2 linked regions of the Elephas maximus indicus genome follow. The protein of the gene in region 2 interacts with the protein of the main gene of each other region in a pairwise test. Links are inferred from orthologs where the notes say so. Each region holds a gene or a part of one and is shown on either strand. Other genes may lie near its edges.

Region 1 (11,037 bases), on a different chromosome or scaffold from region 2:
GAGCTCCACCTGTTCACCTCTCCTCTCTACTTCCCCAACTCCTGGCAACCACTGATCTTTTTACTGTCTCTACAGTTTTGCCTTTTCCAAAATGTCATATAGTTGGAATCATACACTGTTGTTTTGCTGTTAGTTGCTGCCAAGTTGGCTCCGACTCATGGTGACCTTGTGTATAATAGAGTGAAACGTTGCCCAGTCCTGTATTATCTTCATGATCTTCACTATGTTTGAGTCTATTGCTGCGGCCGTTGTGTCAACCCGTGTTTCACTTAGCAACATGCATTTCAGGTTCCTCCATGTCGTTTCGTGGCATAATGGAGCCTTTCTTTTTATCACTGAATGATATTTCATGGTATGGACGTGCCACAGTTTGTTTATCCATTCACTTATTTGTCTGTCTCTTCAGTATCTTTCTTTTTTTTTGCTGGTTGTGAAAAGTTGTGCACCTTGGATGCAGATGTGGACATTAGTTTTTTGGTTGTTTTTAATTTAAATTGTGGTAGAATATATATAGCGAAACATATGTCATTTCAAACATTTTTATGTATGCAGTTCAGTGATTTCAATGTGCATCATTTTCATTGTCTTTTAATCTATACGTTTCTTTAAATAGTTTTTTTTTTTTTTTTCCTTGCAATTTTTGCTTTGAAGAAAGTAAGTCATTTTCCCTATTGAGCTTCCACCAGGCTGGATTTTACTGGTTACATTCCTGTGGTGTTGCTGAACATGGTCCTCTGTCTCCTGCTTATCCTATAAACTAGTAGCCATATCTAGAGACTTGATCAGATTCTGGTTTGATTTCTGTGGCAGGAAAACTTTCTGGGTGGCGTGTGCACTTCCATTTAGCTGTATGATCCATCTCAAGTTAATGTTTGTATATGGTATGAGGTAGGGGGTTAGGTTAATTTTTCTCCCCTATGGATATCCAGTTGACCCAGTATCGTTTGTTCAAAGACCAGCCTTCTCCCAGCCACCAGTCTCTCCCCTCTAACCCATCCCTCAACAGAGCTCAGCTCCAGAGCTGACTCCGCCCCTCCCCTGCACATACCCCTCCTGCAGCTCCTTAGATCCCTCAAGACACCACGGCTCTAGCCACTCCACCTGGCACTCGAGGCCCTGCATGGTGAAGCCGCAGTCCATCTCCTCAGCCTCACACTTCTCCGTTCTCTCCAGTCAGCCAGTCGGATACTCAGTTGTTGTTGCTGGTTGCCATCGAGTAGATTCCCATTCATGGTAACCCCATGTGTTACGGACTAGAACTGTTCCATACGTTTTCTTGGCTGTAATCTTAATGGAAGCAGATCACCAGGACTTTTCTTCTGTAGTACCACTGGGTGGGTTCGAACCACCAATGTTTAGGTTAGCAGTTGAGTGCAAACCGTTTTCGCCACCTAAGGACCTGTTGACCCAGCATTATTTGTTGCAAAGACCTTCATCTCCCCTCCACGCACATATACGCTGGATGGCAATGGACTCTTTGTCGTAAAGTAGATGTGGATCTGCTTCTAGACTATTTCATTGACCTGTTGGTCTGTTCTTATGCCAATACCTCACTCTCTTTTTTTTTTTTTTTAATTAATTTTTATTGTGCTTTAAGTGAAAGTTTACAAATCAGGTCAGTCTCTCATACAAAAATTTACGTACACCTTGCTATACACTCCTAATTGCTCTCCCCCTAATGAGATAGTGCAGTCCTTCCCTCCCCTTTCTCTCCTCATAGCCATTTAGCCAGCTTCTGACCCCCTCTGCCCTCTCTTCTCCCCTCCAGACAGGAGATGCCAACATAGTCTCATGTGTCTACTTGATCCACGAAGCTCGTTCTTCACCAGTATCATTTTCCATCCCATATTCCAGTCCAATCCCTGTCTGAAGAGTTGGCTTTGGGAATGGTTCCTGTCTTGGGCTAACAGAAGGTCTGGGGACCACGGCCTCTGGGGTCCTTCTAGTCCCAGTCTGACCATTAAGTCTGGTCTTTTTATGAGAATTTGGGGTCTGCATCCCACTGCTCTCCTGCTCCCTCAGGGGTTCTCTGTTGTGCTCCCTGTCAGGGCAGTCATCTGTTGCAGCTGGGCACCATCTAGTTTTCAGGCTGATGTAGTCTCTGGTTTTTGTGGTCCCTTCTGTCTCTTAGGCTCATAATTACCTTGTGTCTTTGGTGTTCTTCATTCTTCCTTGCTCCAGGTGGGTTGAAACCAATTGATGCATCTTAGATGGCCGCTTGCTAGCATTTAAGACCCCAGACGCCACTCTCCTAAGTGAATACCTCACTCTCTTGATTAATGTAGTTTTAGAGTAAGTTTGGGTATTTAGTGGTATAAGTTCTCCAGCTTTATTTTCCTTCTTAAATATTGCCTTGGTTATCTTAGGACATTTGCATTTCTGTATAAAAAACCAAAGCTGTTGCCATTGAGCCTATTCTGACTCACAGTGACCCTACAGGACAAAGTAGAACTACCCCGTAGAGGTTCCAAGGAACAGTTGGTGGATTCCAACTGCTGATACTTTGGTTAGCAGCCAACCTCTTAACCACTGTGCTGCCAGGGCCCCAGTATTTCTATATATGTTTTAGAATTATGCTTATCAATTACCACCAAAAATAATCTTGTTGGGATTTTGATTGTGACTGAATTTTATTGATAGATCAATATGGAGAGAATTGACATCTTAACAATAATAAATTTTCTAATCTACCAGCATGTTATGTCCCTTCATATATTTAGTTCTTCTTTAATTTTTCTCACTAATATTTTGTAGTTTTGAGTGTAGAGATCTTATATATCTTTGGTTATATTTACTCCTAAGTATCTTTTGATGCTTGGTATTTTTTGAAGCTACTGTAAATGGTATTGAAAAATTTTATTTTCCAATTGTTTGCAGCTGATTTGAGGACTCTGGGTAGTGCACAAGGTTTGCGCTCGGCTACTAACTAAAGGATTGGTGGTTCAAACCCACCAGGGCACCACGGAAAAAAGAGTTTACAACCAAGAAAACCCTATGGAGCAGTTCTACTCTGTAACCCATGGGGTGACCGTGAGTCAGAATTGATTCAATGGCAATGGGTTGGTTGTTGGTTGGTAGCTAATTTATAGAAATGCTATTGATTTATACATATTTACCTTGTATCCAAAGAGCCCTGGTGGCATAGTAGTTAAGCGCTTGGCTGCTAACTGAAAGGTCAGTGGTTTGAACCCACTAGCCACTCCGTGGGAGAAAGATGTGACATTCTGCTTCCGTAAAGATTACAACCTAAGAAACCCTATGGGGGCAATTCTACTCTGTTCTGTAGGGTTGTTATAAGTCAGAATCAACTCAATGGCAACAGGTCTGGTTTTTGTTTTGTTTAAAAATGTTTATGGAAGGATGAAATGGGGTCCTGAGGGAGCAACCCATAGGTTGGTTGGGTGTCCGTCCCCCTGGGAAAGCTTTCCCATTTCCCCACCATGTCCTCCAGGCTCAGCCCAGTGCAGGGCACGTGGCGGAGCCCAATAGGTGTGGTGGAAGGAATGAGGGCCTCTCTGTCCCTATCCAGCCCTGCCCTGGGCCTGGGCCTGGCCCTGGCGGTCTATGGGCTTGGTGCTCAGGCTTGTCTGCCTGTCTTTCTGCAGAGCCGCCCTCCATGCGCCTGAAGGCCCGACCAGGCAGCCCCGGCTTCTCCGTCCTCACCTGCAGTGCCTTCTCCTTCTACCCCCCGGAGCTGCAGCTGCAATTCCTCCGGAATGGGCTGGCGGCTGGCACCGGAGAGAGCGACCAGGGCCCCAATGGCGATGGCTCCTTCCATGCTTGGTCATCACTACAAGTCAAAAGTGGCGATGAACACCACTACTGCTGCGTTGTGCAGCACGCAGGGCTGGCGAAGCCCCTCACGGTGGAGTTGGGTGAGGTCCCACCGGATAGCCCATTGCTGCAGCAGGTTTTCCTGAGTCTAAGTGCCTTGTGCTCCAAACCTGTTGCTGTTGAGTTGATTCCGACTCATAGCAAACCTATGGGACAAAGTAGAGCAGCCCCATAGGGCTTCCAAGATTGTAATCTCTACAGAAGCAGATCGCCAGGTCTTTCCTCTGCAGAGCGGTAGATGGGTTCGAACCACTGACCTTTTGGTTCCTGGCTGAGCACTTAACCACTGCACCACCATGGCTCCTTAGCTTGTGCTCAGCTATTGCCAATTCTCGGAAAGCCTGACAGCCTTCTATCCTGTGTTGCTTGTCCTTCCCAAGCCTGACTGCCTTCTATCCAGCTGCTGCTAGGCCCCATTGAGTCTGACCAGATATTGACTACTATGGTCAGTACTCTCTGAGTCTGGCCACCTTCAGCCCCACTGCTGCTGGTCCTCCCTGAGGCTAACCACCTTCCATCCTGCTACTTCTGGTCTTTATGGAGTCTGGTCAATCACTGTCTGCTTCTGCCAATCCTTGCCAAGACTGACCATCTACTGCCTTGCTACTGCCAGTCCTCTGTGAGTCTGACCTCCTATTGTGCTGTGCCTGCCCGTCCTCAGAGTCAGAACACCACAGGTCCCTTGGCAAGACCGACCACCATTCTTCTTGCTATGGCTGGTTCTTCATCTAACCTGGGGACACTCTGCCCAAGCCTAGGACACCCCGACACCTTTCCTCTGCTCACTCCCATCCCCAGACACTTGGTCAGGACTCTCTGGCTCGGGGGTGTGGGAGCCCCCATTTCCCTGTCCTGACTCCTGGGATGAGACTTCATTCACCATCTCATACCTTCTCTGGCTGCAGAATCATCAGCCAGGTCCGCAGTACCCGTGGTTGGGATCGTCATCGGACTCTTGCTGCTCCTGGCAGCAGCAACGGGAGGAGCGCTGCTGTGGAGGAGGATTAGGGCAGGACAGCCAGGTGTGGCGCAGGAGGAGAAGCAGCCTCAGAGAAGGGAGCAGAAGCCAGGGGGTGGGGAGGACAGAGACCCGGAAGGAGGACAGAGACCCAGAGAGAGAGGGGGACAGAGACCGGGGAGGGGGGACACAGAGACCCGGGGCGGGGCACAGAGACGCAGAGAGAGGGACAGAGACCAAGAGAGCGGGGGGCACAGAGACCCAGAGAGAGAGGGACAGAGACCCAGAGAGAGGGGAACAGAGACCCAGATAGAAGGGGGCAAAGATCCAGAGAGAAAGGGAGGCAAAGACTCAGAGAGAAAGGGAGACAGGAACCTAGAGACAGAGAGAAAGAACATGGAGGAGGGGTGGACAGGGGCGGGGGTCTCACAGTCTGATGAACACACCTATTCCTCTCTCCTCAGTCCCTTGGATCGCTCTCGGTGCTGATGATGTCGGGGCCCTCCTACCCACTCCTGGCCTCCCCCAGGAGGCTGACTCTCAGGATAAAAACACGTTGGCAGACACTGCCTGACTAGCCTCCATTCTGGTTGCCACCAGCTAATGCTGTGGGGGCCCTTTCATGCTGTGCGACCTCAGGATGGAATCCTGGCATCTCTGAGCCTCCAGAAGGAGTCTGGGCCTGATGTCCTCCCTCTGGATCCTTCTTCCTGCTGCCTGCCTCAGTTTCCTTTCCTGATACATACGGCTCTTTTCCACATCCACATATAATATGATTTTGGGCCTGAATTGATTGTGTTCTCGTGATTTCAAGTTTTCGGGCATTTCAGAATGGGCAATAGGGGGGATGTAGGAGGAAATGAAGGTGGTGGAAGACCTGGGTTTCAAATCTCACCTGCAACTTACTAACATGTTGTCATGTGGAATCTGACAACTTTATATAACAGGTCATACAATTTTCATTCACAACTTCCACAAATTGAGTGACCACTCAATGGCAATGGGTTTGGAGCCCTGGTGGTGGAAGTGGTTAAATGTTTGGGTGCTAGTCAAAAGGTTGGCAGTTCAAATCCATCAGCTGCTCCTTGGAAATCCTATGGGACAGTTCTACTTTGTCCTATAGGGTCTCTGTGGGTCGGGATTGACTCCACCGCAGTGGGTTTGGTTTTTTTTCACATTTTGTCAGCCCTTTTGAAGAGTTCTTGGCTGAATCTCACCTGAATCCCTCTTGATACAGCAGAAGAAGAGAGTTGTTTTCTCCTTTGAGGGAAGGGGCTGCCTCCCTTGGCTCCCGGCCTTTTTTGGACCACCCTGACAAAAGGAAATAGATAAAAATACATTTCCCATGAGGCCTCGGGGCCAAGAAAACTGGAGGTAGTCGAACAGGGCGCCCCGAGTCCTGCTGGGGTTGTAGTTCGCTCAGTTCCAGTCGTTCCGACGTCTCCTACCCCGCCTGCCCTGGAAAGGGGCAGGGCCGAGCCTCGAGGGCAGTGCTTTCCTTTGTGGACGTGGCGTGGGGCTCCTGTGCCCCGCCCGGCGCTCCTTGGCCCCGCCTCTCAGGGCCCTAACACGCGCTCATTGGCCGGGGGCGGGGCCTCCGCTCGGCCAGAGGCGGGGCCAGGCTGGAGTGAAGCCAAGCTGGGCATCTTTTGGGGAACACTGAGCGGTGCGTAGAGAGCGAAGCCTGGCTACGTAACGGGGTAAAGGGGTCCGAGGGGTGCCCAGGGAGGGCGGCTTGGGGTGGCTCGGGTCGAAGATCAGCGTCCCGATTGGAAGCGATCCTAGGGAAGTCAGCCTGATCTCTCCCCGTCCACGGCCCCGCCCTCTTTTTGCGTGGGATGTGCGCCACGTCTTACCCTGGAGCCCCTTTACTTGTGGGTCTGGGAACCCTATGGACGCCCTCAGAAGATGAGGTTCCCATGCTGGTTTTACCTCCGCGAACCCTGCCTCCTTTCACCCATACCCAGACCTTCCCGAGGCCAAAACTTTGCCGCCTGCCCTGTCATACCCTCTCACCCCTCAAATCCTGTCCTCTTCCCTCTGACCCCGATCGCTGGCCTCCGCCCCTCTGCAGGGACTGACAATGTGGCGACGGTCATTTCTGCTGCTACTGTTGCTGCTGGGGCCTGGGGCCCAAGGGAAGCCGTCTCCCGACTCAGGCCCTCATGGCCAGGGGAGAGTGCACCAGGCGGCCCCCCTAAGCGAGGCCCCTCATGACGACGCCCACGGCAACTTTCAGTACGACCATGAGGCTTTCTTGGGACGAGAAGTAGCCAAGGAATTCGACCAGCTCAGCCCTGAGGAAAGCCAGGCTCGCCTGGGGTAGGAGTGATATGGCGATGGGAGTGGGGTGCAGTGGTGGGGGTGGGGTGACAGAGAGATTGGAGCATTGGTGCAAAGACAGAGGCAGGGGACCGGTAAGGAAAGATGGAGGAGACCTTGGTTCTTGTTGAGAATCCACTAACGAAATCCTACCTCCCCTCCTCAGGCAAAACAAAACTAAGTAAAAATTGAGGCCTCAAGATACAACCTTTGAAAGCAGGAAGGTCTGAATTCAGCTCCTGTCCCCTCAGTCACTTTTTGTTCCTTTTCCTCAGACACCTCCCCTCTCTGAGCCTCAGCTTCCTGCTCCGTAAATGGGTCACCAGGATTCCTTGGCATGGGGCTGATGTGAAAAATAACAAGATTCGTCATGTAAAGAGGACAGCCAGAGCAGGAAAAGGGCTGAGCCATGAGTCCCAGGGTAAACTGGGCTAAAAGGGGTCTCCCCACGAACCTGAGAGATCCTGTGCACCCCGGTATGGGGAGACAGAGCCAGAGAGGGCCTGGGGGCAGTAGGCAATGCAAAGCCCCCTCTCTATGGTGTCCCACTACCGCTCATGCATCCCATGAAGGTCTATTGAGCGCCTGCTGTGTGCCAGGCCTTGCACAGGTGCGGAAGTTCCAGCAGTGAACTAGTCTGGCAAAAATTCCAGCCCTCATGCGGTTTGCATTGTAGAGGCCGAGACAGAACAATACGTATAAATACATCAGTGCATTAGAGAAAAAGGGCAAAGAAGTGAAGTGGAGAGGGGGGAAATTGCAGTTTTAAACAGGGTGTTCAGAGGAGGCCTCAATGACAAGGTAATAATTGAGCCATGTGGGTGCCTGGGGGAATAGCATTCCAGGCAGAGAGAATGGTATGTGCAAAGGCTTTGAGGCAGGAGTGGGCCTGGCACGGTTGAGGAATAGGAAGGCTAGTGTGACTGGAACAGAGTGATCAAAGGGGAGAGGAGGGAGGTAAGGAGCATAACAGAGAGAACTAGATCATGCAGGGTCACCTGAGTGCACAGGGCACCATAGGAAGGTTCTGAGCAGAGGAGGGAGGTGGTCTGATTTAGGCAGGCTGGGGAGCAAGGAGAGGCAGAGAGATCAGTGAGAAAACAGCTGCAATAGTCCAGGTGGGAGAGAAGAGATGATGGTGTATAGACCAGACTGGGGACAGTCGGGGGCGGTGACCAGATCTCTGCACCCCACTGGTTGGAAGACTGTGCCTGAATGCGGTCAGGGGAGGAAGGGTAGTGAGAGTTATCCTATCACATTGATCACATTTAGCCAGGGATTACTGCAGTGCCAGCCACCGTTCTAAGTGCTTTACATAGGTTAACTCATTTAATCCCCACATGGGGTGGATACCATTATCTATTCCCATTTCGCAGAGGGGGGAACCAAGGCACAGAGAGATTAAGTGACTTGCCCAAGGTCACACAACTAGCAAGTAGAGGCGGTGGGATCTGAACCTAGAATGCCTGGCTGTGGAGCCCACGCTCTTAACCATAGCTCCAACCTCAGAGAAGGGAGTGAGTCCTGGGGACAGGGCCAGCCCCCGAGTGACCCAGGCAGAGACAGACTGGTGTGGGAGGAGAGCGGCGACCGGGCGGGAGCAGGGAGAGCGGGGCTGTCTTGGATGAGACCTGGGGACTGGACAACAGGGGCTCCGTGTGGGGTGTGTTAGCGTCTGCGCGACGGCTGGACCGTGGCAAGGTGCGGCCAGGGAAGAGAAGCGGGGCTCCGAAGCTGACAGGTGCGGGTTGAGAAAGAGGGGGCGTGAGGGGGGGCCTGGAGGGGTTTGATCGGCCCGGGGAGCTGCACAGGAGTATGCCGGATCCTAGAGAGGGCTTGGGAGAGGAGGGGCTCGCTGGTCCAAGGGCAGGCGGGCTAGAGCGGGAAGCCGAGAGGGGAAAGGGGCTGGGCGGGGCGTGGGGCGGGGCTGGGGGAGGAGAGCGCTGAGACTGGCAGAGCCGGGGAGGGGGCGGGGCCGTGGCAGTCGGGGCCGAGCCAGTCGTGGGACTTGTGTCCCGCTCCCTGTCCCACCCCAACTCAATCAAGCTTAAGGTGGATGGAGCACGTGCTGGGTCGAAGGATGGGGCCGGAGTGGAGGGTGCGGCCCCGGATTGACGTCTGTCCTCCCCCACGACCCCTGCGTTTGGTATCGTCCATAGGCAGGAAAGGCGTAGTTTGCCGTGGGGGCGGAGCCTAGATGGAGGGCACTCGGTCCGGAGGTGGGCGCGGTCCCGAGATTAACACGTGTCCCTCTCCAGTCTGCCGACGGAGCGTGGACCGTCTTTTCAGCCCTATACAGGGGTGTGTGGGAGTGGGGGCGTGGCTCGACGGGAGGAGCGGGGCCTAAATGGGATTGGGTGGGGCCTGGGTCTGACCTGTGCCCCACCCCTGGCTCGCAGACGGATCGTGGACCGCATGGACCGTGCGGGGGACGGGGACGGCTGGGTGTCTCTGGCTGAGCTCCGCGCGTGGATCGCGCACACGCAGCAGCGGCACATACGGGACTCGGTGAGCGCGGCCTGGGACACATATGACACGGATCGCGACGGACGTGTGGGCTGGGAGGAGCTCCGCAACGCCACCTATGGTCACTATGCGCCCGGTGGGTGGCAAGACCTCGACTCCTGCTCCCTCCACACACACCACTGACCCTGACCTTTTTCATTCCCTCATCCTGCGTACTAGAATCCATGACCTTTTGACCTCTGACCCCAAACCAGGGTATCCCCCTGAAACCTTCAACCCATGATGTCTGGTCTCTCACTCTGGCATCCACGACCTGTGACGCTGTGACTGGGGGACTTCATATCTTTGACCAGAAACACCTAACTTTCATACCCTGTCATCCTGGTCTCTGACGTCTGTGACCCCTCCTCCTGAGAAACCCAAAGCCATTTTCCCTGTCCCCGACTCTTTTCGGTCCCTCTTCTCTGTCCCCGGAGCCCTGGTGGTGTAGTGGTTAAGAGATCAGCTGCTGACCAAAAGGTCGGCAGTTTGAATCCACCAGACGCTCTTTGGAAACTCTATGGAGCAGTTCCACTCTGTACTATAGGGTTGCTCATTATGAGTAGGAAGCTACTCTACCGCAAAGGGTTTGGTTTTTGGTTATGGTTTCTCTGTCCCCACAGCCTCAGTCCTGGCGCCACACAGGCTTTGTCCCCTCCATCCTAGACCGTTGTCCCAGGCTCTACCTGGCTTCTTGGCCTCTAGTCTCCCCCTCCAGCCCATCCCCACACTGCCCCAGATGGTTCTTTCTACACCTGAGCTGATCCTGGCCCTCCCCAGTACACAGCCCTCCCATGGCTCCCCAGCACCCCCAGGAGAGAGTTCCTTCTCTGCACTTCCTATCCCAGCCAAGTCGATCTCCAAGGATTTCCCTCAACTCACCAAGCTCTTCAAATACCCACACTCCACACATGCCCTTCCTCAACTTTCTGTCAGGCAAACAGAGTCAGTATAAGCTATTGTGCTAAACTGACTTTGAAGCCCAACTTAATTAAAGTCCACTGTTACTGACCTTGGACAAGTTTATTTTCTCTTTCTGGGGGTCAGTTTTCTTTCATAAAGTGAGGATAAACGAAAGAACCCACTTTACCTGCTTTTAATGAGAATTCAATGAGATATTGTAGGCAAAGTGCTTGGCATATAATAAGTTCTCAATATAAGTTAGGTAACTTATGTATAGGAGTCCCTGGGTGATACAAATGGTTAACATGCTCAGGTGCTAATGGAAAGGTTAGAGATTCAAGTCCACCCAGAGGCACCTCAGAAGAATGGCCTGGTAATCTCCTTCCAGAAAATCAGCCATTGAGACCCCTGTGGAGCACAGTTCTACTCTGACACATATGGGGTAACCAGGAGCCGGGACAACTTGACAGCAACTGGTATAATACACATAAAACCCATTATGGCTGAGTCGATTT
Region 2 (10,558 bases):
GAATGGACGCGAGAAATCCCAGGTGGAAAGGAGGGGTGTGCTGTCACATAACAGAGAGAGAGACTAGGGTCAGATAACAATGTGTGTATAAATTTTTGTATGAAAAACTAACTTGAGCTATAAACTTTCACTTTAAAGCACGATAAAAAAATTAAAAAATATATTTCTTAAAAGGAGGCTGAAGCAGCAAGACATCTGGAAAACAAAACAAAACAGTGAAATTCTTAGCTTTCTGATGAACTTCTGAAGATCTGATACTGTTACTGCATTTGGGACCACATAGTCACAAAGACTGACCAGAACCTTGATCTATTTAGGACAGAACTGTAGCTTTAAGATTTTAGTAAAAATTTCAGCTTTAGAATAAACTCAGTTTTCTGATCAAAGTGCTGTTCTCTTCCTGTGTTAGTATCTATGGTATGCCTTTGGGAAGGAATTACTTATACTTAACTTTCAGAAATATCTATCACTTTATTGTTGTCATTAAAACGTGTGCATCATCACACGCACACACGCGCGCACACACACACGTCTCCATTTTCCTCATTAATTCTGATGAATTGGTTTGATGCCAGAGAAGCAGAGAAAGATGAAAGGAGTGGTCACAATTGCCTTAAGACTGGGAAAGGCTGTGAACTGCGATGAGGCTCTTCCCTCTTTTCCCTATTTCTTTTGTCCTCCTTTCTTTAGTTGTACTCTCCGTAGCCCAGAAGTAAAATTTTAGCAAGATGTTAAGCTATGCAGAGCTTAAATCTGCCAGTAACACACTATTCTCATAAAGTTGGCTCAAATATTTCAAATGATTTTTCCTACCCACCTTTTATCTTGAGAATTAAAAACAAAAACCCTCTAAATTTCAAACAGCAAGAACTACCCAAGGCTCCAAATCTAAAAATGTGGCAGATATTTGGGAAGTCCTAATGAGAAAATGACTTAAGCTCCTACTTCACCTTTTGGCAGAATTACTGGCAGAATGAAGGAAATGTTTTCCCAGAGAAAAGTCAATCCTTTAAACATTAAAACTGAAAATGCACCACTGCTTTGATGCATTTCAAATACATTACCAGGAAAGACAAAGGAGAAACTAAGACGCATTAGTTTAAACAACATTAAAGAGACTGGCTGGAGACAGAACTCCTGCCCAGCCATTCAAGAAGCAAAGGATCCCCTGGGTTGGATGGCTGGACTGCTCCTCTGTACTGCTGATGAAAACAGGAAATTGTTGCCAATTGCTAATTTCTTTCTAACTAAGCAAAAGGCAGATGAAACACAGACTGGCTGAAGACTGAAGTAGCAGTGTTCTCTGGAAATCAGCATCACGAACAAGGAGTCCTGCTCAACCCTCTCAGTAAATAATGGGGGCTCCCTGCCATCCTTTATTTAGGAACATCTTTGTTACTGTGATAAGAGATGTTCATTCATTCAACCACCTGCCCATCAGTCCAATGAAAAAACATTTATTGGGCACATAGTGTGTGCCAGGCACTGCCCTAGGTACTGTGTATATGGAAACGGGAGAGTAATAAAAAATAAAGGAGTATCATTCTTTTTCCACAAGGATTTCAAAGTCTAGTGGAGACAAAAAAAAAAAAAAAAAAACTCTCCCAGAAGGGGTGCCTCATTGAGCTCAAACAAAGCAGAAGCCACACCCATCCGAGAGAAGAAAAACGAACAAAAATAACCTTTCCTTGGAAAGAGTGAGGAACTTGGAACCAGATCTCAGTCTGAGTCTTGGTGCCTTAATTCACAGGCCAGGTGGTTTGAATATGTTATTTAACCTCTCCAAGCCTCAGTTTTCTGCATAAACTGAGAAAAATAATTCCTACTTACCTAGCAGGGGAGAAGTTTAAACAAGGCGACGCTGTACCCAAGAGCTGGCTCAACAGGGCGAATCAGTTAGGACTGAGGAGATTGATAACTTCAAACCCATCCAGAGGCACCTGGAAAGTAAGGCCTGGCAATCTGCTTCCAAAAGGTCACAGCCTTGAAAACCCTATGGAGCAATTCTACTATGCACGCTTGGGGTTGTCATGAGTCGGAACAGACTCCACCACAGCTAACAACAAGAAGAGGCACAGAGAGGTATCAACTGATCTTAGTGGGACCATCACCCTTGAGCTGAAGACAGAGATGCCGTTGTTTTACAACTGCCCCTCCTTCCCCATAAAAGTAGTATTCAGAGTCTTTCCATTTGTCACTACTGATGCATTTGCGTGGGTGCCAGCAAAAGGAATAACCGGTCAAGCCCTGTGTGACCTTGGGCTCACGCTTCAGATTTCTCAACTATTAAATGAGGATCAAACTTCCTGCCTTAACTATCCGCCTAGTTTTTGTGAGCATCCAACTCGAATGTATATGAAAGCGCCTTGTAAGCGCTGGAGAGCCTTGCAAATATTATGTTTAGCTAATTTTTTCCGTCAACAATTAGGCGTTCCAAATAGAAAGGCATCTCCCAGCTTGCTTTGTCATTCTCATTTCTTCTAGGCCTTTATTAACTTTATAATTATAGAAATAACTGAAATTCTACGGCCATTTCTGGCATCAGATTTTCGGGCCCCACCCAGATACACCACCATGCTGCCCCGCCCGCTCGGGGCCGCAGGAAACAGCCCCTCTCCTCCACCCGCAGGCGGGCCTTCGCCCTTCTAGTGCCACTGAGTTCCCGAAGCCAATCCCCACAGCGCTGGTACACCGCCCCGCCCCTTAGAGAAGGGAAACACTAAGGCGGCCCGGAAGAACGGCAGGAGCGTGAGCCAATCACTGCAGAGGGCTGTCCTCATCCGGCAAGGCCCAGAGGCGGGGTCACCAGTCAAGATAGACAGCAAGAGCAGCCAATAGAATTAACAAGCACTGGGGACAGGGCAGGCGCCGGTGTTCACAGAGCGGTTAAGGCCCCTCGAGCCAAGGGCCCACCGACCCGGCTCGGACTACAGCTCTTTCCTTTGCCTACTCCAGAGTTCTCTATCCCACGGTTGCCGCCTGGCTGCCCTGCCTACGAACTACGGGTGGGGGAGGACGTTGGCGACGGCGGCTGAACCCGCCTGACAGGCCGGGCCAGTGACAAAGAGCCGGGCAGAAACCCGGGAAGCTATCCCTTCGGGGAAGAGAGCAGAAGTCCCTTTAGAAATAGGAAAGATGCAACTCACGTTGTCGATCACGACAGGCTGGTTGGCGATCACATCGTAGGACTCCATCGTAGAGGAATCTCTCCTTCCGAGGAAAGAACTGCCAGCCCGGTCCGCTGCTAACGCCGCTGACACGCATGCGCAGTCTAGCCGCCGGTATAGGGCGGCCAGGGAAGGGGTCCGATTTCGCCTCCAAAGAACTACAATCCCCAGCATGCTTTGCGCCGGGGTTTGCTAAAAGGCCCGTTTTGGAGACCCGCCTCTTAAACATGGATTGAGCGTCCGCATTTCCGTCGCACATACTCTGGGGTTTGTAGTCTCCGTTAAAAAAATAGATGGAGACGCCGATTGATGCCTGTGTTGCATTCTTGGATTTGTAGTCCCTTTGAAAGGTTTCGCAGTGCATGCCGAAGTGTGTAGTCTTCTTGAGTACTTGTCTGTATTTCGTTTAGCATTGGTCAGTAATTCGTGAATGTGGTTTTTACAGATCAGTACTGCCCACTCCACCCCCACCTCACCTGGACAAAATAAGGCTGCCATGTTTTTATTTGGGTCTTTAAGACTTTAAAAAACAAACATCTACCACCATCAAACTTGAACAGAAAGGTCATTTTAATACACATATACACACACAAGAAACTGCAAATTTTCAGAACAAAGGAAATCATTTAAATTCCATAAAAATTTGCTACAAGAGAAAAGCAGTACATTGTGGTTACTATTCCCGTTTTCTCCTGGATAGGCGTAAATTTAGTAACAGATTGACATTGGTCTGAAGACTGGCATTTGGAACTACTGGTAAAGGTGATCTTTTGGTTATTAAAATATTGTTCATCCAAGGATTTCAGCTGCTTCTCTAGTATCATTACAGGAGCTAGAATTGACAAGATTTTGATAGGTGAGGAAACAGAGGTGAAGAGAGGTTATGTGTTACTGCTCTTAAATAAACACTGCATTTTCCTCTTGTTTTCTCTAGGGCATCCTTCTGTTAAAGTTGCAGAGACCCTTTGGTCAATAGCACTGGTAGCCACTCCCTCCTATCCGTTTATCTTGGCACTCCTTCAAGATCATTGAATGAAAGTGTTACTGAATGAAGAGTTATTGTAAACAGGAAAATAATTTTCCACCTCGTGCCTAAGAAATTAAAGAAAATTCTCCCAGATACAGAGAGTAAAGATAATGGGAAAGGACAGGCCCATAGTGGATAATGAATATTGGTATTCCTCAAAGCAAACTGCATACATCTCCTTAAAGCAGAACAAAGAACGAAATTATCATTAAAAACATTTATTAAAGAATTACTAAGTCATATAAATTGACACTAGTTTAACCAACTCTTGTTATTTTCTGAACAAACCTGTAGCCCTGGAGTTGATTCCGTTTCATAGACACCCTATAGGACAGAGTACGACTGACCTTTAAAGTTTCCAAGGTTGTAATCTTTAGGGAAGCCGATTGCCACATCTATCTGCCAGCGGAGCCGCTGGGTGGGTTGGAACCGCCAGACCTTTTGGTTAGCAGCCAAATGCTTAACCCCTGGGCCACCAGGGCACCTTTACTTTCTGACAGTATGCCAAAAAGTATTTATTACTTGTTGACTTATTTTAGGAGCCCTGGTGGCCCAGGGGTTAAGCGCTCGTCTGCTAACCTAAAGGTCGACGGTTCCAATCCACCCAGCGGCTTCGCTGGGAGAAAGATGTCTGCTTCTGTAAAGATTACAGCCTTAGAAACCCTAAGGGACGGTTCCACTCTGTCCTACAGAGTCGCTATGAATCGAAATCGACACGACGGTATGGGTTTTGGGGACTTATTTCAACTTCAGTTCCCTGAATTTGGTCGCTATAGGATCCCTGTGAATCAGGATCGACTAGACGGCAATGGGTTTTAACAGTGTCAGTCAATACGTCCACGGACGTTCAAAAATAGTAGGAAACATTGGATTAATTAATCTATTAAAACTAATGCCACACGGACGAGTGAGCCAATATACTGTCAGATTTATTTAAATCTTGGTTAGTAGCGTGTAAGCTACTAACCTAACCGTAGGTGAGATCACGTCACAGTGCCTTTCGTGGGACCCTAGCACCTCACAGGGTTGCCTCCCTCAATGTCTCTATTTAAACATGTCTTCCTCCCAACACTAGGGGGAGACCAAGAGCCTTGGGACACCCCCAACTCAGCGATGAGAAGGCGGGGCCTATTGTCAGATCACGCCTTTCTCACCTGTGACTGGCACAGACGCTAGCCAATAGATGTCAGCATAGGACGCGTTTGCGGCCCGCCCATTTGAGAGCTCCGCAGCCCCCAGGCACCCTCTGGCCGACTCCGAGGCTGCGGCGGCGGCGGCCTGGGCGGACAGTGTGTAGTGCGCAGGCGCAGACACTAGACCTCGCTGCAGCCCCCTTTGCCTCGGGGAGTCGCACCCAAGAAGTCCGCCCGCTGGCCAGTCAGTGCTCTCCCCCTCACCCTCCCTACCCGGCTCCCCCAGCACCCTACGTGCCCCAATGGCGGAGCTGCGGCCTAGCGGCGCCCCCGGCCCCACCGCGCCCCCAGCCCCTGGCCCTTCTGCCCCCCCGGCGTTCGCCTCGCTCTTCCCCCCGGGACTGCATGCCATCTACGGAGAGTGCCGCCGCCTTTACCCCGACCAGCCGAATCCGCTCCAGGTTACTGCTATCGTCAAATACTGGTATGCCCTGGGCCGCGGGGAGACGGACAAGGGGGCTGGGAAGGGTTAAAGCGCCGGAACGAAGAAATTTGCAGGGGAAGAGAGGAGGAGGAGTAGAAGGGTTAAAGCACTTGCAAGGAGGACTTCCTGCTGCGAGGGGAGAATTAAGGCACAAGTTGGGAATGGGGACAAAGGGGTTAACGGAGCCTGTGGGCAGTGAAGGGTTAACGGAGGAGGGGAGGATGAAAGGTTAACAGATTAAAATGGAGTAAGAACTGGGGTGTGTGAAGGAGCAGAGAGGGGTGCGTTATGAGAGAGGGAACTGTAAACGTGGTGAAAGGAGAGCGCGCCAGTAGGGGGTCATTAGTGGAATAGGGGAAGCTAAGGATGGGGGTCGGCTGAAGTGGGATGGGGAAGGCTAGGCGGGGCCTGGGGAGCATAGGAGAGGGCTTTGGAGGAGCTCGGCTGGAGGAGATTAGAGGGCGTGAGACTGCCTAGTATAGGGGCGACTGCATAGGATAGGGGCGGGTCTGGGGGCCTTCTTGAGAGTTAGGAGGGCAGCCCATTGAAAGAGTAGTGTTTGTGAAGAGATGAGGTCTCCTTTTCATACCTTCTCGTTGAGCTCCTACGTAATACCCGAGTAAAACTTTTGCTTTTGAAGTTTGACCAGCACTCTTCCTGATAAACTTTTTGCTTGCTCTGCACAGTGTTCCTCCTCTGTGCAGAGCTCCCTCTGGCTCTGCAGCTCCTTTGCTCTGGGACATTGGCTAGAACAGGAGCAAGCTAAGGAGATCCATGGTTTGGCTCAGGATTGAAAGGGCCACAGCTTTCCACTTCCAGTAGGAAGTAAATGACGGAGACCTGGGGCTGGGCAGGGAGGGAAGCAGTGCTTTCTGGCCACCCATTTCAGGACTCAGGCATTAGTTTCTCAGGGCAGCTGATATTCCTCAAGTAGTTCTGCTGAGGATCAGGCTGGGTTACAGATGGGTTACGCTTGGTGTAGGAATGGATCTTTTCTAGTTTCCCATCCCTGTTTGCAACCTGTCTCTTCCTACAGCCTCTGGGCAAAACAGGTGTTACTGGGACTCTGGAAAAGAGCCCATCCTCTTGGTCTTTCTGGGCCAAATGTTGACTGAGGAATTGGTTGAGTCCAGCACCACACTCATACAGGGACTGTATTAGATGCTCCCTTTCAGTGGGTCCTGAAAGACAGTTCAGACAGCTAGTTGCTTGGGGTGTGGCCAAAGGGGCAGGTAGACTCCAAGGTGGAAGAGAGTGGATGTCTTGGCTGGTTACCATTCCCATTGGGACTGAATCTTTCTCCTCCACGAGTATGGCTTACTTCCTCTGGAGATGGCAGTCGCTAGGCTGTGCAGAGCTGAGGCTTGCCCCCTGTGCTGGTGGGAGAATGCCATCGGGGCCTTGGGACCAGCCACCTGCTCCTCAGGGAGGGCCATGGGGAGCAGCCTGCCTCTGTCTGGGCAGCCAGGAGGAGGTGTGGCTGGCGGTGCGCTTCTGTCTGGCAGGAAAACTGTTCTTTGGTTGAGAGGAGTTTTTGGAGAGCCTCTGACTGGAAAGCAGCTCTTGCTAACTTAACCAGCCATTCTGATTGTGCCTCTATGTTTAAATATGTGTTGGGAGGAACTCTGTTGAAGTGTATCTTGAGAAAACTGGGTCTGGCTCTGTCATGCTGTTTGTTCAGGTCTCCTTTGAGTGTGAGGAGAAATCCCTCCACAGACTCAGGCAACTGTTTTTGTCTGTTACCCAAGTGGCGATAAAGGATGGTGCTGAATGTGAAAGGTATTGAAGCGTGTGCAAATGACTAAGACTAGTTTGGGCAACTTTTTTTTTTTTTTCTTCCTGCTGCAAGCTTGTTAACCAGGCCAGTACTTAGCTTCAGAGACTGGCCAGCATGTAATGATGAATAAAGATGATTGCACAGCACTTGGTGAGATTAGAAATGCTGCCTAGATGCAAAAAAAATAAGAGGGAGTAGCTCAGAGACAGGATCTTTCCAAGATTCGAACAGGTTTGCATAATTAAGATCCTGAAATTCATTCATACCCCTCACATTTGGGATCCCATGTGTTGCATGGCTCCATGAAGCCTCTTCAGTTCTCTAGCAGAATGATTGAGAGGCTGCCTGCTCTGGCTGTGGCCCAGGGTACTTTGGGATTCCTCTCCTGCAGTGGAAGGATGGCTCTTTCGCTAATGGTGCTGGCCAGGGATGACCTGCTGAAGGCTGAGACTTTGTGAGTAGGGAGCAGAAGCATAGAGGCAGAGCCTATGCCCTGGGTCCATTCTAGTCCTGTAGGTGGCCTGTGGAGTGAAGTCCGGTGTTCGAGGCTCCTCTCCTCTGGAATTAAGTTGAAGGATGCTCTGGTTCGTTGGCTAACGTCTTTTTCTAAGTACAAAATAAGATTATTTTCTACATAGGCATCTGATTCCAGTCAGGTCTGGGAGTAGTAGAACAGAACACTTTGTGCTTGGGGCCAAGGTTAAATTTGTCTAAGTCTTGGCTATTCCCTGCCCTTGTAGTTTTAAGGACAAGCCTCTCCCCTTGATGGGACACCTCCTTGGACATGTGGAGATAGAAAAGGGCTGCAGTGGTATGACACATGGAGCACTGAATACTGAAAGCAGGTTTACCACTTGTTGGTGTATGGATTTTGGCTGAAGGAGAGGCAGGATTGGGAGTTTGTAGCAGAAAACTGGAGCAGATATAGGGCCTGTTGTCATTCTCATCCGTTTAGGGTTCTATAGCTATCATGGAGTCCGTCCAGGGTTCACTGCTGTTTTCTTTCCTCCTTCCCCCCACAGATTGTTCTAAATTCAACTGATTCTGGGATTAGTCAAACGATTTGGTGACACCAGAGCTAATGGAAAAAAAAAAAGCTAATGGAAGACATGGAGATTTGTCCCTTTTCCTAGTCCACTTGGTTGAGATTGTAAAGTATTTGTAGCAGCTTCCTTACAAGTTCTATAAATAACTTAGCATTTCCCAGAGAATAAGGATCTCTACAAAGGCAAATAATATCCTGGCAAAAGAGGATGAAACCAGATCTAATGGTTTTAAATTGTGTTTCAATTGAATCCTGGCATGTTTGCTGGGATCACATGCAACATGTCTTTTATGCGGTGGCTAGCACACCTTGAGCATACTCTTCCATTTGCAAAGTGTACCCCATCAGTGCCCCAGGGGCAGGCAAATGTTTACAGTCTGTGGAATGGTCAGATGTGCAAAGCAGCTCAAATTGGAGGAGTGTTTGTGTGCTAAATGCAGACTTCCTTCCATTGATGGTTTCTGTTTAGTCTGTTTCTCAAGTCTATCAAGGTCCCCTATCCATTTTAAGAAAAACAGGATTTTTTTTTTTAATTTCTCATTCAAAAATTTATACATATATTGTTTTGTGACATTGATTGCAATCCCCATAATGTGACAGCATTCTCCCACTTTCAACCCTGGGTTCCCTGTGTCTGTTCGTCCAGTCAGGATTTTTTTTTTTTAAGCACTAAAGGAAACCCTTATTGAATTAAATCCTCGGAGTGAAATAAAGACTGAATCTTTTCCACAACTGCCTCTCTGTTGGAATTGTGGAGGAAATTTAATGTGGTGCTTAGAGGCCTCCAATCATTGAATGTTGCAGCTCTACCTTTGAGCCAGCAGTCTCCTGGGATCATCTTGCAGATGCAGGCAATCCTAGGGCTCAGCTGGGCTCCTGCTGCAGATCTCTGTGCAGAGCTGAGCTAGCCTAAGTTTGGCCTTTGTCACTTGCAATGATAAAAGACCAGCTTTGGTCTGCAGGGTGCAGGCCAGGGTCTGCACAGACCGCAGGCTTTGGATTTGTTTAGAACAAACTGTAATTAACATAGGGCACAATATAGTCTTTCAGGAATTAGCCCACTAAGAGCCAGGAACGGAGCGGAGCCTCTGCTTCCAGGAACAATGCCCATTGGGGATGCTCCAGATGATCTTTCAACAGAGACCAGTTGATTGACTGATGCATCTCTTGCCTTGAAGCTTGGCATGTTTACCAGCTCCGTGGAGGAGAGATAATCCCTGCCAATCCCATTTGGGATCTGTAATTTGAAACAGCAGGAAGCCAACTAGGCAACCACCCAGTCTGTTGTATTTTTAAAAGAGGTCCTGCCTGTTGGGGGTTGGAAAAGGGAGCTGCTTGTGCTTGTGGCATTGGGCAGCCTCTGGCTATCCAGCTCTTAGTCTTATCCTGGGGAGTGTGGCCTCCCTTTAGCTCTCTTTCATCCCAGGTTCCTCCAGGATATGGCCTTTTGGTTTGCAAGGCAGAGGTCCTTAGCTTGCCATTGTTGGTTTTCCAGGCTCACACTAACATCTCTATGTTTTTTTTCTTCTTTTGCAGGTTGGGTGGCCCAGATCCCTTGGACTATGTTAGCATGTATAGGAATGTGGGGAGCCCCTCTGCCAACATCCCTGAGCACTGGCACTACATCAGCTTCGGCCTGAGCGATCTCTATGGTGACAGCAGAGTCCATGAGTGAGTGTGTGCCGCCTTTCCACCCTCTACCTGCCCATCCTTTAGTCTTGAGCCTCATTATGGAGGTTCTCCTGAGCAGGGGTAGTAATGTCATAGCCTATGAGGTTGTCACTTCTTGGGTGGACCCCCAGCTTTCTGCTCTTTGCCTCTGTCTACTCATGCCAAGGTGGTCCAGGTCAGCACCTAAGTACTGCTCTTCTGGTATAGGAAAATGTCAATGATGAGCAAGAGCTCCAAAACCGTTAGGTTTTTCC

What was found.
Region 1: the proteins of SUFU (region 2) and RCN3 interact in binary tests that used the Homo sapiens proteins (3 or more experiments, as listed by UniProt). The two-hybrid records come from large-scale screens. The link is inferred for Elephas maximus indicus from reciprocal best matches to the Homo sapiens genes SUFU and RCN3.

The regions. Positions count from the first base shown.
Region 1 is NC_064829.1:99,993,517-100,004,553, forward strand, and holds the start of RCN3 (reticulocalbin-3), read left to right. Parts: upstream 1-6,367; 5' UTR 6,368-6,458; exon of another isoform or gene 6,459-6,492; intron 6,493-6,866; 5' UTR 6,867-6,875; coding exon 6,876-7,114; intron 7,115-9,122; exon of another isoform or gene 9,123-9,311; coding exon of another isoform or gene 9,312-9,415; intron 9,416-9,513; coding exon 9,514-9,716; intron 9,717-11,037. Other genes in the region: FCGRT (IgG receptor FcRn large subunit p51), read left to right, coding at 3,606-3,875, 4,740-4,856, 5,257-5,366. UniProt on the Homo sapiens protein: Probable molecular chaperone assisting protein biosynthesis and transport in the endoplasmic reticulum.
Region 2 is NC_064834.1:54,065,582-54,076,139, forward strand, and holds the start of SUFU (suppressor of fused homolog), read left to right. Parts: upstream 1-5,436; 5' UTR 5,437-5,629; coding exon 5,630-5,811; intron 5,812-10,169; coding exon 10,170-10,304; intron 10,305-10,558. Other genes in the region: ACTR1A (alpha-centractin), read right to left, coding at 3,147-3,194. UniProt on the Homo sapiens protein: Negative regulator in the hedgehog/smoothened signaling pathway. Down-regulates GLI1-mediated transactivation of target genes. Down-regulates GLI2-mediated transactivation of target genes. Part of a corepressor complex that acts on DNA-bound GLI1.